Saccharomyces cerevisiae S288C: one gene and its partners. The gene in region 3 interacts genetically with the main gene of each other region. Each region holds a gene or a part of one and is shown on either strand. Other genes may lie near its edges.

Region 1 (3,577 bases), on a different chromosome or scaffold from region 3:
CTCTTGTGATCAATTTAAGATACCTATATGTGTAACCGTATTATGTAATTATGAAGTATAAGTCGTTGAAAGACTTATACTTTTTAGGCGTAATATCAGATGGAATCAAAGAAATTATAGAAAACAGTAGATCAGAGATCCTGCCTTTGGAATTCTGTAATTCAACATATGGAAAAATTGATGCGAAATCACAAGAGTACAGGGATAATTTGGTAATGTATCTCACTAGTTACCATTGTTTTGCTACGCGTACTATCTCGTTTCAATCACCTCTTCTATAATATTACTAAAAAATGTTCATATGTTATATGGCGTACCGATAAAGTTATTGCATTTCTCATGCGATTTTAACTTCCTTTTCAAGTCAAGGATACTTTGTGCAAGCGTAAATCCTTGCTCAATCTCCTCTGCTCAAAATGAAAAAAAAAAAAACGCAGAATCATATGCAGGATGCAATATTGCTTAAATGATTCTATATTTTGCACTTATGTGTGAAGAGTGTAATTTTTGATCTTCCATTTTAATGTTATGCACATAGAGCTGAAATTAAATGCGTCATATATAATTATTATGAGTGAGTGGATTTTGAGATAATTATTGGGAATTCATTATTGCTTGAGATAATATTATTACTTATACAGAATACACTAGAAGTGCTCCTCGGGGACATAGAGATCCATAAAAGGGAATCGATAATTCTACACATTAATCTGTTTTATTTCTTTATCTGTTTTACACGTTTTCATTCATTATCTTATTACAAAATCAGCCCTTGCGCTTCATGTTCCATTATACTCGCAGACTGTTTCTCATCATTTATCTCATCTTTAACTCCATTCAGTATATTATCTTAATAACGCGACTACTAGTAGTGAATAATGGTCAATTTTTACTTCAGAAACTTCCCTTGATTTCATTCATAGATGTTATTTCATTGTCAATTTTTACTCTTACTCACCGATTTGAATGACAGTAAAGAACTTTGCTCAATTAATATTATATTTGTTGTTATCGTCTAACGCTGTAAGTATATGGTACTATCATAAGAACCTCAGTAGTGGAATATGGTTGTTTCTTGTGCTGACATGATTCCGGATGGCCTGTAGGAAAGTATCCAAGATTTTTATTATCAGATACCGGTATGCATTCCATAATGCCAGAGTTTGCGTTCTTACGTCAAAGAACAATGATGCTACGGAGCGCAAGAAAGTGACGTGGCCAACTATCAGCGCGCTAGGATATGTATGCACTGCCGAAAGGCTGAAGCGTATCGTACATTAATTCATAAAGAGAAAGAAATCTCAACCCTGAATTTAGGATAGCGAAGTGCAATAAGAAAAACTTTACCATTGTTTTCAGGATGAATTCTATATCAGCCTGTTTATATAAACAATTTGACAATAGTGCGTAAAGCTAAAAAAGGAAGCATGCCCTTTGTTCCTTATCGGGTGGAGAGGGCCGCACTTAATCTCGAGCGGATATCAGGTACCAAAAGCCTAATTGAAGCAGGCAAATTTTTTTTCCCTATTTTCTTTTATTTGAGTGTGTACATACTAATATAAATTTGATCAAATAATGAATGCGATTAAAAATCAATATTGGCAAATGGAAAAAAATCTAATAGCGGCTAATAGTGAGACTTACATCGCTATAGATTGGTAATTAAACGAATTAAATAATAACAATTGAAAAAAAAAAAACTATCATGAGAGAATATACCAGTAAAAAAGAACTAAAGGAAGAGATTGAAAAAAAATATGAAAAATATGATGCAGAATTTGAAACAATCTCTGAATCTCAAAAAGACGAAAAAGTTGAAACAGTGGATAGAACACCCTCTGAAAACCTCTCTTATCAATTGGGCTGGGTTAATTTATTATTAGAGTGGGAAGCAAAGGAAATTGCTGGGTATAATGTGGAAACTCCTGCGCCTGGTTATAAATGGAACAATTTAGGAGGATTATACCAGTCATTTTATAAAAAATACGGAATCTACTCCATTAAGGAGCAAAGAGCCAAGCTGAGAGAGGCCGTAAACGAGGTCTATAAATGGATATCTACTTTATCTGATGATGAGCTCTTTCAAGCGGGAAATAGAAAATGGGCTACAACTAAAGCTATGTGGCCTGTGTATAAATGGATCCATATCAACACGGTTGCTCCTTTCACAAACTTTAGAGGAAAAATTAGAAAATGGAAGAGACTAGTGCCTGAAGAACAACGCATAAAAAGGAGGAAGATATAATGAGAAAGTTGTATATGGCCGTCTATTTTTTTTCTTGCAGGATTTAGAAACTACCACAGGAAAACCTTTTTTAATATCATATTTTTTGATATTATTATATTTGAGAAATGAATCTCGATTATTATGAGTCAATTTAACAAAACCTCATATAATGTACAGCAGTATAAAGACAAAACTCTCTTACGCTTACCATAGCCTCAATAACATGTCACAATACGAACTTTTTATGTTCTTCCCATATATTTTATTGTACTCTACACACACAGTATTGATCATATAGTTAATTTACCTTACTATACGCTAACCTTTAAAGCAACAAAGATATAGACGATACCATACATGAATGTCGATCAGAGACGTATGGTATAGCTTGTGTCACATTCTGCTATCGTATATGGTATACATGGCACATACTTTAAATTTTAAAGTAATGTCACTTGATTAAGATCTTTCCTATACGTCAAGGTCTCGAGATAAAACTTTATGTCTCAAATAATACATGCTAGGCATATAATGACCCATTTTCTGGAGTTGATGTACTCAAGACATTGGTTAAATATCAATCACGCATGATGATAGTGCGCCCTATTATAACCCATTTTTGTCATCGTCATCACGCTTCATCACCTGAGAAAAGTAACATACAAACTCAACGCCTACTAAGATTAATACATCAAAAACGATATCGTTGCCATGTACGTGCCCTAACTGCAGAAGAGAACTTCAACACTTGGACTAAAATTCACATGAAATTCTCCTAACATTCTAACATCGGTGACATCATTCCAAACCTCTTTGTAAAAGAATATATGAACAACATATGCATTAGAATAACGTGCCGTTAATTTTGCTCGAATTAACTTACCCCAGACTTGACAAAAATCTAAAAACTAACTACTCAGAAACACAAGCAAGCCTTGTGCATAAGAAAGATGTAAATCCATAGCATCAGCAGTTTCGAACTTGATACACCTCCAATTATTGCTTCATAAAGAATACATCTCCGTCTGGTAATGCGATGGCCCCGGTTTAGAGTACCCTTCTTGCGCAAGGTACTTGTGTGATAAGTAGCGCATTTTTTGCACATCACGTATGCTACTTTTGTATTCTTCACTAGCAGGCACTACAGTTGAAATAGAATTGAAGCTTGAAGTGTCGTATGGGTTATTCCGATTAGTTCACCTATTCGCATATTACGATTTTATAATCAGAGTGATATCAATGAGTATTATAACCTTTAAGTCATTGTGCTTATGCTATCTATAAACGTCCAGCGGCACATAATTCATCTATTTATGCAATTCCTACAATAAATGTTGATATCTTCATGGA
Region 2 (3,075 bases), on a different chromosome or scaffold from region 3:
TATCCATAGATAATTTTGTCAGTGCAAGGAAATTGTGGGTAAAGCTTTTATACTGATTTAATTCAGGATGCGTTTCGTCCTCTAGTGATTTATGAATCTTTTTACCTTTCTGCACCTGAAATTTTAAGTTCAGTAGTTGGTTAGACAAATTTTGAGAATAAAAGTCGTAAAAATTCCTTAACTCGCACCAATTCTGCGTAGTGCATAATTGTGTGACGGATAATCGTTTTTTCTTTAGCTGATTTACTTGAATGTCAAAATAGGGATTCTCTAAACCTCTGGGGAATCTGTAATTGATAAACGAAGGATTTTCAGGGTCTTCTCCAAATAATTCTTTAACGCTGGCCAATTTTTCGCTCAACAATGCTCCTTCCTTAGTATTTGTCTCTTTTGTCGGACTGGTGTTATCGAAAAATGGCAAATTATTGATTCTATCGATATCCGAGGCATTCAGGATACCGCTTGGATCATTAGTTGGAACATCATACATATGATTTTTCTTCGAAGGTAGTATAAATGTTCCATCAAGGGACTTATCGTTTAAATGTACAAATCTCCTAGGATGAATTAAAAATCCATACTTGTTGATTAGTGCCCGGCCCAGCATACGATAAGTACAGAAGAAAAGCAGAAAGCCTACTTGAAAAATTAAGAAAACAAAGACAGTCTACAAAGCTTTTCTGTGTACTATGCCTGGGTCCCCCCTCATACTCATCTTTGTTGCACGTTTGATTGGCATGGTAAATCACAATAGCACTTGAATTACTTCATCTTTTTTCGCATCCATAAATGACAACGCGGGTAATACTGCCTTATGCTTGTTGTTATTATTATTCGAAATCGCTTATTTATTTACGTACTTGCTTCCACTGTACACTTATATATGCAATTTGCCACTGCTTCATAGGATATAGCTGATTAGTTGCAAAACACCACCACCTACGAGAAGAAACAGAAGAATACCCAACCAAGTTTTGGATATCACAGGTGCGGTTTTCTCAGTTTTGCCCTCCTTCTTCTTACCGTATTTTCTATACTTTTCGTTATTCTTGTTAAACTTGGCATTAGCCAGTCTTTGTCTTGGTGTCTGTACGGCCATCGCAGGTGTTGTCCTCTATCTACTTCGACCTCTGCACCCTGCTATTTCTGCATGTAATGCTGTGCTGAAATTATATTTGATATAACGCAAGTAAGCGCAGATGGCGACAAGAAAAAAAGCCACGTCAAGTCATTAGACACGATATCACATACCACGAGATCTGCGCCTCGCTTTTTCTTTTCTTTTCGCGTTGGCGACTTTCCTTTTTCGTTGGCGATTTAGTGCTGGTTTTGTTTATTTTTCCACGCTTTTTCGTCGTACAGCAAACGTGAAAATTCGAAACTTGGGATTTTCATTTAAATATACCACGAATGCAGATGTGATTCATCACAAACGTTCCTGTCTTGGCAATATAGAAAATTTTCTTGCTTAGCCTTGTTTCACTTCCATTATTTTCAGATTTGTTTTAATTTTATTTTCGCATCTCTACTTTTTATATCTCTCGAACTTTGCTAGTTAAACTTCTTATCTCCATTCAATTTTTTTTTATATTATAATTATTTCTTTTCTCGCAAGAAGACTCCAGAATCAAAACTCAAACCAACCTAACTTATCCAACTTCTAGTCACTCCTTCAATAGAACGTCTTTTTCTCACCTTTTCGTTTTTCCATTTACACCCCATAAAATATCTAAAACCTAACGGAATTTGAACGAAAAAAATGTTACAAAAGCTTTCCATGACCGCATTAGTCGGTTTGTTTTCTTCAGTTGTGTCACTCGTGAACGCTGATTGTACTTACTCTGGCGGTAATTACTATTGTGCTCAAACCGATGCCATCATTTACTCTAACGTCGGTTTATCTGCTACCTACCAAGATGTCACCAATATGGATGAATCTTCTTGTGCTTGTACCCAAGCTGATTTCACTGCTTCTGGTAGCTTGGCTCCCTTCAACGAGGAACTATCTGTTCATTTCAGGGGTCCGATCGAGTTACTACAATTTGGTGTTTACTACCCAAATGGTGAATCTAATGCTTTGAAGAAAAGATCAGAGAAACAATCAATCGAGTCCTGTAAGGAAGGTGAAGCTGTTGTCTCCAGACATAAGCATCAGCACAAGAGGGATGTTGCTGTTGAATATGTTCAAGTTACTTCCACTGTTTACGTCGACAGTAATGGTCAAACAGTCACAGCCGATTCCACCAATACCGTTGTCGGTCCTGCTGTTCCTTCTTCTTACACTAAAGACTCTACTGTTTTGTCCAGCAGTGCTCAAGCAGTTGAAACGAGTGAAAGCCAGTCTTCCATCTCTTCCTCTAAAACCACCTCTTCTGCTGCTGCTGCTTCATCATCTTCGTCATCATCTTCTAACACTAACGGTGACTGGTCCAGAGGTTCCTACTTTGTCCCAGGCTCTACTAGCAACTGTACATTCATGAACAACCAAGGGGGGACTGCCGGTTCTGGTGTCTGGTCGAGTTGTTTCGGTAACTCCATCTCTTTTGCTGCTTCAGATGGTGTTTCTGGTGCTGCCTCCGCTCAAGCTCTTGGTGATGTCACCATTAAATCTGGTAATGAATTCATGATTTTCTCCGGTGAAGAATGTTCCGGTAATAACGGCGATTGTGGTTATTACAGAGAAGGCATTCCTGCTTATCATGGGTTTGGTGGGGCTGATAAAATTTTCGTCTTCGAATTTTCTATGCCAAGTGACACCAGCGGTTCTGCCTACAATCAAGATATGCCAGCTATTTGGTTATTAAATGCAAAAATCCCAAGAACCTTGCAATATGGTGATGCATCTTGTTCTTGTTGGAAAACTGGCTGTGGTGAAATGGATTTGTTCGAAATTTTGACCGCTGGTTCTGATAAATTAATCTCACACATCCATGACGGCCAAGATGGTGGTACTCAAGATTACTTCGAGAGACCAACTGATGGTACTTTAAAGGCTGCCGTAATCTTTAATTCAAGTGATAAAACTATTCACATTATCGAAGTCGACGAAAGCTTTGATGCTACTTTAAGCGATGA
Region 3 (4,360 bases):
TTATCGCATGCGTAAATCAGGGACCAATTCATAATGCTATAATGGACGTCGCAGTGCAGGAACTACTTGATTTTTTTTTTTTTTTTTAATTTTTTTCTTTCTATAGCTAGTCACACAGCCATTACCACCCAAAATTAAACTGTTTTATGTATGTTTAGTCACCAAATTATCAAAAGAGCATGATTTTTCTCCTGAGTATTTCAAAGTGAAATTTGAAATCTTACCAAGCCCTCAATATAAACCAATATTTCAAGAAAGCTAGAGACATTGCAAATATTTTGCTCATTCAAACATATAGCTAAGGCAAAGGGATACTAAAACTCAGCAACTTGATGAAAGTTCGAAAATAACTGACAGTGTATCTATAAAAGTTTCACTGTGGGAATGCAGTGTCCATCCAGTATTCAGCACAGGTTTTCCTAAGCCTTCTGTACATCCCTTCATTTAACAGTAAATGTGGAAAACAAGAAGGGTAATTGTGAAAGAGTCCGATTGTAGTTGATGAACAGTAAAATCACTTATTATTTAAGGATTCCGCTGCGGTATGCGTTTTCTACTGATGTGTGGAGCAAGCCACGCCATGTGATTAACCTTGCTTGATAAAAACACCAACCCATCGTTCAGAATATGCATGGAATACAGCATCTCTAGGAGGAGAAAGACAATAAGTTTAGCGCATATGGTAGGATGATAGCACACTGATTTCTGTCAACCAGTGAGAAATAGGGAAAAAGAAAATGGTTGTAATGGTAAAAAGTAGTCTCGTTTTGGTTATTCGCAGCTGACAAACTACAAAATATATAAATTGAAAAAGTTGTATTTATCTTTACGCTAAGGACTCCTCACTGCAGGATAATTGCGCTTCTTTAATATATGGCCATAGTTCCACATTCAATGATAGAGCCCGCATAGATTTCTTTGCAGAGAGAACGCGGTAGAAGAAGTGGCTAAAAAACCATTCACAGTCAATCCCGTCAAAGAAAAACTCTTCATTCTTCCAGACTTTTTTCTCAAACAAGTACCTATTCATTTTTTTTGCAATTTCGTCCCATCCATTCGCACCACTTTCTTGCTCATTTATAATAGTCGACAAGAACTGCATCTTGTGTTCCATTTTCACGGATAAAACGATCATCCTCATGTTTTGGAAACCTTGTACCAACATGAAAAGAATCCACCCGAGATAAAAGGTGCGTAATAGAAGGCACATTCCCCGTGACACATATATGCAGCACAAAAAATTAAGGAATGGTATCAACATAAAAATATTGGAAATCCTCTTTAAAAACCAAGTAAGCTTAAATCGGTAAGCTTCTTTGGGAAGTTTAGCATCTTCCAGGCCAACAGGGCTCCATGATTTCTCAGAATTAAACAACTTCCATTGTTTTTCAACTTCTCTAAAATAAACTCCCAATGCTTCTTCAATGTAAGGGACGGAATCCTTAAATGACTTAACCTTGGCAGCTTCGTCTTTTTTCAAAGAAAATGGTTCGAGAAGGGTTGTTCTGAACGCTTCTTGACAGACCATGGCATTGAAGAAAAAGTACTTAGTATTCCAAGCCTTATTTTCATATAAGTACGAATTTAGATTTGCTGCAACAACTTCCCAATCATGAGGATCAGAACTTGGTGTGTTTTCAGTAACCTCTTTGCAAAACTGAATGAGTTGTTTCGATAAGGAACGCTTACGAGAAAGTCCACAAATAACAAGGACAAATATTGGTCCCAGAAACAGGACCAGAAGTGAAACTATAAGTGGGTAAATACAATTGTTGGAAAGTTTCCACCAGACGCTAAGTGGTAGCCATAATAGCATCCAGATGCGAAACGCTAAGGACTTGTAAATTTCATAACAAAACCAGGTAAAGCTGCTTCTGAAAAGATCTTGAGGTAGAACAATCTTTTGGGATTCGAGCTGTTTGAAGGATAATACATCTACACTCTTCTCATTTTTAAGTTCATTCTCTTTCATTTTCGGTAGTGAGATGGCAGTTCGAGGGGTTTTTTATTCGAGATAGTAACTTCTGGCTTTTCGCTTTTATACAGCACAGCAGAAAAAAAAAGCCGCCGAGGCGCGCGCGTTCATGCAATGGCTCAGTAACCTCGTGATAGAAAAAGGGAAACAATATTGGGCTATTTTAGGCAAAGAAACTCAGCTATTCGAAAAGGGCATCCATTTCATTTCCGGTTTTCTATCTAGCCAACTCGATAATCGTAATAACGAATTTACAAAACTTTAATGCGGGTACATCACGGTGTGCCGTAACGTTGGTTTACATTTAAGGTGCGACCAGCAATGTCACTGCTCGTACAGCGGTTACCGCTTGAATGAAATACATATTTTAAGCGTAGATTTCCTGTGACAAAACTGTGTAAACATCTAGTAGAAAATAGACGTAGCTGTCACAAATATTTACACAGGAAGAGTCTGTCCTACGTATCTGACATGAAGATTCATAGAACCAAGTTACTTCCCAATGTGGACAACCTTTCGATACCATGTCAATAGCTTCCCCTTATGTTCGGTGTCACTGTAAAACGGATCAAAGCAAAACCTAGAGGTACGGTGGTACTCAGATTATGCATGACCTCTGGGTAATTAGCACTTCTCCCGCTTGTTTTGAGATTCTGTATATAAATATTGCAAACAAAAGGATAGAGCGCGGATGGCAGCCCTTACAGTAAAAATTATTCGTTTTAATCATGCGTCAGTGTGAGATTCTATGACAATAGTATGAGAAGATGGGGTGAAGTAAAAGCGTCTGTATGACTATAGAGTACAGTTATATTACAATATATGGAATAGAGCATAGTGGTATGACGTATTAAGGAACATTTAAGTTAATGACGTCATGGTGGTATTGATACGCAATTGAGTGTGTTTATGTATTATGGTTGAAGAATAGAATATTTTTATGTTTAGGTGATTTTAGTGGTGATTTTTTTGTAATATTGGCATAAGTGTATATAAATTGAGTGGTTAGTATACGGTGTAAAAGTGGTGTAACGTATGTATTAAGAGCAGTTATACAATATTTGGGGCCGCCGAATGAGATATAGATATTAAAATGTGGATAATCGTGGGAGTTATGGGTAAATGGCACAGGGTATAGACCGCTGAGGCAAGTGCCGTGCATAATGATGTGGGTGCATTTGGTACTGATTTAGTGAGAGATGGGCCATGGAGTGGAGTGGAATGTTATGGCAGGGTAAGTTGAGATGGTATATACTGTAGCATCCGTGTACGTATGACCGATCAGAATACAAGTGAAGGTGAGTATGGCATGTGGTAGTGGGATTAGAGTGGTAGGGTAAGTATATGTGTATTATTTACGATTATTTGTTAACGTTTCAATATGGAGGGTAGAACAACAGTATAGTGAGTAGCAGATGGTCGATGGTAGGGTAATGGTAGTAGAGTTGGATTTGGGTAATTGGAGGGTAACGGTTATGATGGGCGGTGGATGGTAGTAGTAAGTAGAGTGATGGATGGTGGTTGGGAGTGGTATGGTTGAGTGGGGCAGGGTAACGAGTGGGGAGGTAGGGTAATGGAGGGTAAGTTGAGAGACACGTTCATCAGGGTTAGAATAGGGTAGGGTTAGGGTTGTGATGGGTGTGGGTGTGGGTGTGTGGGTGTGGGTGTGGTGTGGGTGTGTGGGTGTGGTGTGTGGGTGTGGGTGTGGGTATATATATGTCACTGTATTGCATGCTGGATGGTGTTAGACAAGGCCGTAGGGACATATAGCATCTAGGAAGTAACCTTGTACGAAAATAGGCAATATTTCCTGTTTAGGCGATTGTGACGCAGATTTTAGTCCAACGATCTAGCGTCAAGGAATTTTTTTATAGTGGGACATTGCACCAAGGAAGTAACTTGATACGTCGTGGGTGAATGGGTCTGTTTTCTTATTCGGCGGGGTAATACATTTTTGGGGGAAGTTTGTCTGTCTGACGCGCCATATGTAGGTACGCCAAAAAGGGCTCCTCTACTTCGAAGCGCGAGGTCGTATACCTAATAAGGAAATGTAATTTATAACTTTCTATTATATTGGTCTTTTCGAGAGCGGAAGAAGTTGTAGGCTAAGCGCAGGCTAAGCGTAGGTCCATATTTAAAGTATCCAAGAGAATATCCACGAAGCGGCTGAGCAACGAACAGAATCCTGGTTCTCCTCGACTAAGCAGATAGTTAAGATACTGTGCACCATGGAAATTGAAAACGAACGTACGTACCGACTACTTTATTTTTGCAGGCCGGAAATCAAGCGATGAATGAGACATCCTTCTGCTTTCTATGTTGTGCTTGAAGGGGACAGACAGTCGCTTATCTTAGTGAGATTTCTTACTAACTGAATTTACTTTG
Region 4 (4,717 bases), on a different chromosome or scaffold from region 3:
TCGATAGATAAGTCTTGGCAGGTAACAATTTAGAAAGTGATCTTTTCTTCAAAACAAAATTGCGTAGAGAATCTTCCAGACTGTCAAAATCCGGATCGGGATCGCTGCTAGAATATGGGTCGTCGTCAGGTTTTCGGTCACCATGATCTTCATTGTCATTTTCATTATGATAATGTGGCAATTCATCTCCGTTTTTGGAAACAAAGTGGACAAAATCAGCTGCACGTTTATATGTTTCTGGGGACAGGTCACGGATTTGCTTTAGGATCAACTCCTTACAACGTTGTTTGTCCCTGATTTTGTCAAATTTTTTCACAACAAAAAACATTAATTTTTTCTCACGAGATGCTAAAGAAATAAACTCCTTGGCAGATAGTGTTAGCTGGTTCTCTGCATTGACAACAAATATAACTAAGTCGATTTCTTCTTGTCGGGACATTACTTCGGCGGTTTGTAACGAGTCCATGTTCAACCCAGGGGAGTCAATTAATGAAATATCAACAGTACCATTCCTTAATAGACTAGTAGAGGCAGGCCTTTTATCGTCCTTTATGTAAATCTTCAGTAAAGCATATTTTCCGTTTTGGGGAACCAAATCGGGAAGTTCTTTCAAAGTGTGTATTTCATAAGTCTTGGGATTTTGTATTGAATACATATCAATGGCTTCCTTGAGAGTCGGAGCAATGTTTAGTGGTATGGCATGAACCTCCTCTATGCCGTCATTTTCCCGAGCCTCTAGTATTTCGGAAAATACATTGGTACATGGTAGCTGATCCTCAGGTAGCAAACGCTGCTTTAATAGAGAGTTGCAAAGAGCTGATTTACCAGTATTTACATCACCTGTGATGAATACTTTAGATGAAACGTCATCCACTCTTTTTTTCAAAGCGTTTAAATGATTTGTCACTGATACGATCTGAGAGTGAAATAATTTTGATAAAGCTTTTTTCTCAATGTTGAAACCGTTCTTTTCTTTGGTATTGTACTGACCATCTAGCTTGATATTCAGTTGTAGAACATGTAATTTTTCCCGTTCATCATTTGCAGCAATAAAAATCGGGCGAATATTATTTTCTTCTTGAAGTTGATCCATAAAAGCTTGTGTCTTTAATATAGATCTTTTTAAAAGTACTCTATTGTTGTTATAATTCCACTGGCTAAGTTGTGAAGAAATTAAGTGTGCTTTTGAGTTGGAGGAACGCAATGAGGGCAACAAATCATCCTCCCTACGCCCCTCTTCACCATCAAACAAAGTGGTACGGTCATCAGTTACTCCATGGAAATTACTGCCTAAAAAATGACCTTCGTTGCGTGAGTAAGTAAGAGTTTGTGGTACTATTGTGGCGGCATCATCGTCCTGATCTGTGGAGTCCTTGTGCGGTTTATTGCTGTCTTTGAATTGTTGTTTTCCTTCAGACATCGTTAAATGAGCCTACCGTTTTGCCTCTATCCGTGATATCAGATAATGTTGCTATGTTCGGATGTACTTTGCTTTATTTATTAAGGGCTACTGTAACCTGCGTTATCCTGTTTCAATAATGCATCGTCCGTCTTAATTAATATTAGCCCGGCCATATTCTTCAGCATGAAAAGCTGTATTTACCCGGACTGCGCACCAACTTTTAAATATTAATCTCCGTTCGGTCTTTGCGCGAGTTATTATACTAGCGCCACGTATTAGTAATACTATAGCTATCTTGCCAGATAAGGGATCACAAGGAATTATATACCGTGGATCACAACTATCCATATCACTCTTCCCAATTTCGCGGAGAAATACTTATGCAGGTTTCCAAATCATTTCCGTAGCCAAAGCTGCCTGTTGGCCACTGTTTTGGCATCTCTCTACATTTTTTTTTTTCATTGATACTTTCAACCCAGACATTCTGTCACCTGGTGAAAAACGACACAAACTCCTTTGTAACAACAATTGCAATTTTAAGATATATGAGAATATTGATAAGGCTAGAAGGATGGTAGTAAGAAAAGTTGTTGTTGGTAATTTTTCAAAAAAGAGTTTCAAGAGCTGGGAAAAGAATTAAGGCAATGGGAAGCGAACCGTTTCAGAAAAAGAATTTGGGTCTGCAAATTAATTCGCAAGAAAGTGGAACAACCCGCTCAACATTTCATTCGCTAGAAGATCTAGGAGATGATGTAATTAATGAAAGCTGGGATCAGGTGAACCAAAAGAGAGCCAATATAGATCATGATGTCTTTCATGAGCACCCTGACTCTTCCCCATCATTGTCAGCACAGAAAGCAAAAACAAAAGAAGAGGAAGTTGCTGTAAAGTCATCGAACTCCCAGTCAAGAGACCCTTCTCCTGATACTCAAGCACATATTCCATATACTTATTTTTCCAAGGATCAAAGACTAATCATTTTTGGAATTATCATTTTTATAGGATTTTTGGGCCCAATGTCTGGAAACATATATATACCGGCTTTACCATTGCTGCAAAGGGAATATGATGTAAGTGCAACAACAATAAACGCTACAGTTTCTGTATTTATGGCTGTTTTTTCCGTTGGTCCATTGTTTTGGGGCGCACTGGCGGATTTTGGTGGAAGGAAATTCTTATATATGGTGTCGTTATCACTAATGTTAATTGTTAATATACTTTTGGCCGCTGTACCAGTCAATATTGCTGCCCTTTTTGTTTTAAGAATTTTCCAAGCTTTCGCTTCCAGCTCTGTGATTTCTCTGGGAGCTGGCACTGTAACAGACGTTGTTCCTCCAAAACACAGGGGAAAGGCCATAGCGTATTTCATGATGGGTCCAAACATGGGTCCTATTATAGCACCCATTGTTGCTGGGCTTATTTTAATGAAAGGAAATTACTGGAGATGGCTTTTTGGTTTCACTTCTATCATGACAGGAATAGCATTGATCTTGGTTACTGCTTTACTTCCAGAAACGCTACGTTGTATAGTTGGTAATGGAGACCCTAAATGGGGTGACAAAAAAGATGAACGTGAAAATAACGAATCTCCATTCTTCGAAGGTAATAAAATATCACATCGGCGTCTGTTCCCAGACATTGGTATCCGTAAACCAGTCAATAATGATGCTTTCTTCCAAGAAAATTTTCCAAAGCCGCCTAAAGCAGGTTTGACACTATATTGGAAAATGATTAAATGTCCTCCAATAATAATCACGTCCGTCAGTACTGCACTCCTGTTCTCCAGTTACTATGCGTTCAGCGTCACGTTTTCGTATTACCTTGAACATGACTACCGTTTTACTATGTTAGAAATTGGTGCTGCTTATGTCTGCCCAGGTGTAGCTATGTTACTAGGATCTCAATCTGGTGGGCACCTCTCAGATTATCTTCGTTCACGCTGGATCAAAAGTCATCCTAAAAAGAAATTCCCGGCAGAGTTTCGTTTATTACTGAACCTAATTGGAATTTTACTAACAATATGTGGCACAATAGGATACGGATGGGCAATCTTCTTTCATTATCATTTTGTGGTTCTTTTAGTTTTTTCCGCTCTCACTGCCTTTGGTATGACCTGGTGCAGCAACACATCAATGACATATTTAACTGAGTTATTCCCCAAAAGAGCTGCTGGAACTGTTGCTGTTAGTAGTTTCTTTCGAAATGTGGGCGCTGCCATTAGTTCCGCTATCATTTTACAGCTCTGTAACGCAATGGGAATTGGATGGTGTTTTACAGGGCTCGGTCTCTGCAGTTCAATTTCATTGATTGGTATATTATATCTTCTCATTTTTCAAAGAAAATATACTGCCAAAGAATTTTAAGAAATAGTTTATGTTTAGCTATAAAATTTAACTTTTAGAATTTTATTATATTATTTAACTTTCAAGAAAATTTTCTCATCACTCATCCCAAGGACTTCAAGAAATAGAACAATGCATCATAAGTTTATGAATTACGTGCATTTGGACCTTCAAAGAATAAAATCGAAGTTATAGTTAATTATATTAAATTAAGCCAAAAGTACATATATCTAAAAGGAAAAAGTATAAAAATTATGCAGGTCCAAGACATACTTAAGCCTTCAAAGAAGAAGCTCTTCTCTTTCTGATTTCGGCCTTTTCAGCCTTTCTTTCAGACAATCTCTTAGCCAACAATTGAGCGTATTCGGCAGCAGCTTCTCTTTGAGCTTGAGCGTTTCTGACCTTCAAAGCTCTTTGGTGTCTCTTTCTTTGCAATCTTTGAGGAGTAACCAATCTTTGGATCTTTGGAGCCTTGGTGTAAGTCTTTTCACCCTTGGTGACTTCTCTTCTGATGACGAAATCACGAACGTCATCTTCCTTGGACAAACCGAAGAACTTTCTGATGTTGTTAGCTCTCTTTGGACCCAATCTCTTTGGAACAGTAGTGTCAGTTAGACCTTCCAATTCTTGTTCACCCTTCTTGACAATGACCAAAGCCAAGACAGCCAAATCTGGACCAACAATGGCACCTCTGACGGACTTTCTCTTTCTTTCACCATCACGTCTTGGTCTGTAACAAGAAACGTTCTTGGTCAACAACAACTTGATTCTAGTTGGCAACAAAACACCTTGCTTCATTGGGAAACCTTGTTTGTCGTTACCACCAGAGATCTTGAAGACGTAGCCCTTGAATTCATCACCAACGGCTTCACCATCGACTTCTTGACCGATTCTCTTGTCGAAGAAAACACGAATACGGTGTTCATCATCAATTTCGAAGGTCTTTTGAGACCCGTTGACTGGGTAAGAAATG

The links.
Region 1: mutations in COS1 (region 3) and IRC4 together harm fitness less than expected from each alone (positive genetic interaction), as found in Saccharomyces cerevisiae (one large-scale study listed by BioGRID).
Region 2: mutations in COS1 (region 3) and YSY6 together harm fitness more than expected from each alone (negative genetic interaction), as found in Saccharomyces cerevisiae (one large-scale study listed by BioGRID).
Region 4: mutations in COS1 (region 3) and DTR1 together harm fitness more than expected from each alone (negative genetic interaction), as found in Saccharomyces cerevisiae (one large-scale study listed by BioGRID).

What each region holds. Positions count from the first base shown.
Region 1 is NC_001136.10:1,515,804-1,519,380, reverse strand, and holds IRC4 (Irc4p), read left to right. Parts: upstream 1-1,705; coding exon 1,706-2,245; downstream 2,246-3,577.
Region 2 is NC_001134.8:563,255-566,329, reverse strand, and holds YSY6 (Ysy6p), read right to left. Parts: upstream 1,100-3,075; coding exon 902-1,099; downstream 1-901. Other genes in the region: EXO5 (Exo5p), read right to left, coding at 1-607; TOS1 (Tos1p), read left to right, coding at 1,760-3,075. UniProt on the Saccharomyces cerevisiae protein: Interacts with target proteins during their translocation into the lumen of the endoplasmic reticulum. Protects unfolded target proteins against degradation during ER stress. May facilitate glycosylation of target proteins after termination of ER stress.
Region 3 is NC_001146.8:5,942-10,301, reverse strand, and holds COS1 (Cos1p), read right to left. Parts: upstream 1,973-4,360; coding exon 827-1,972; downstream 1-826. Other genes in the region: YRF1-6 (Y' element ATP-dependent helicase protein 1 copy 6), read left to right, coding at 4,204-4,222.
Region 4 is NC_001134.8:587,695-592,411, forward strand, and holds DTR1 (Dtr1p), read left to right. Parts: upstream 1-2,046; coding exon 2,047-3,765; downstream 3,766-4,717. Other genes in the region: FZO1 (mitofusin), read right to left, coding at 1-1,420; 40S ribosomal protein eS6 RPS6B, read right to left, coding at 4,018-4,717. UniProt on the Saccharomyces cerevisiae protein: Prospore-specific dityrosine transporter responsible for translocation of dityrosine through the prospore membrane and required for the formation of the outermost layer of the spore.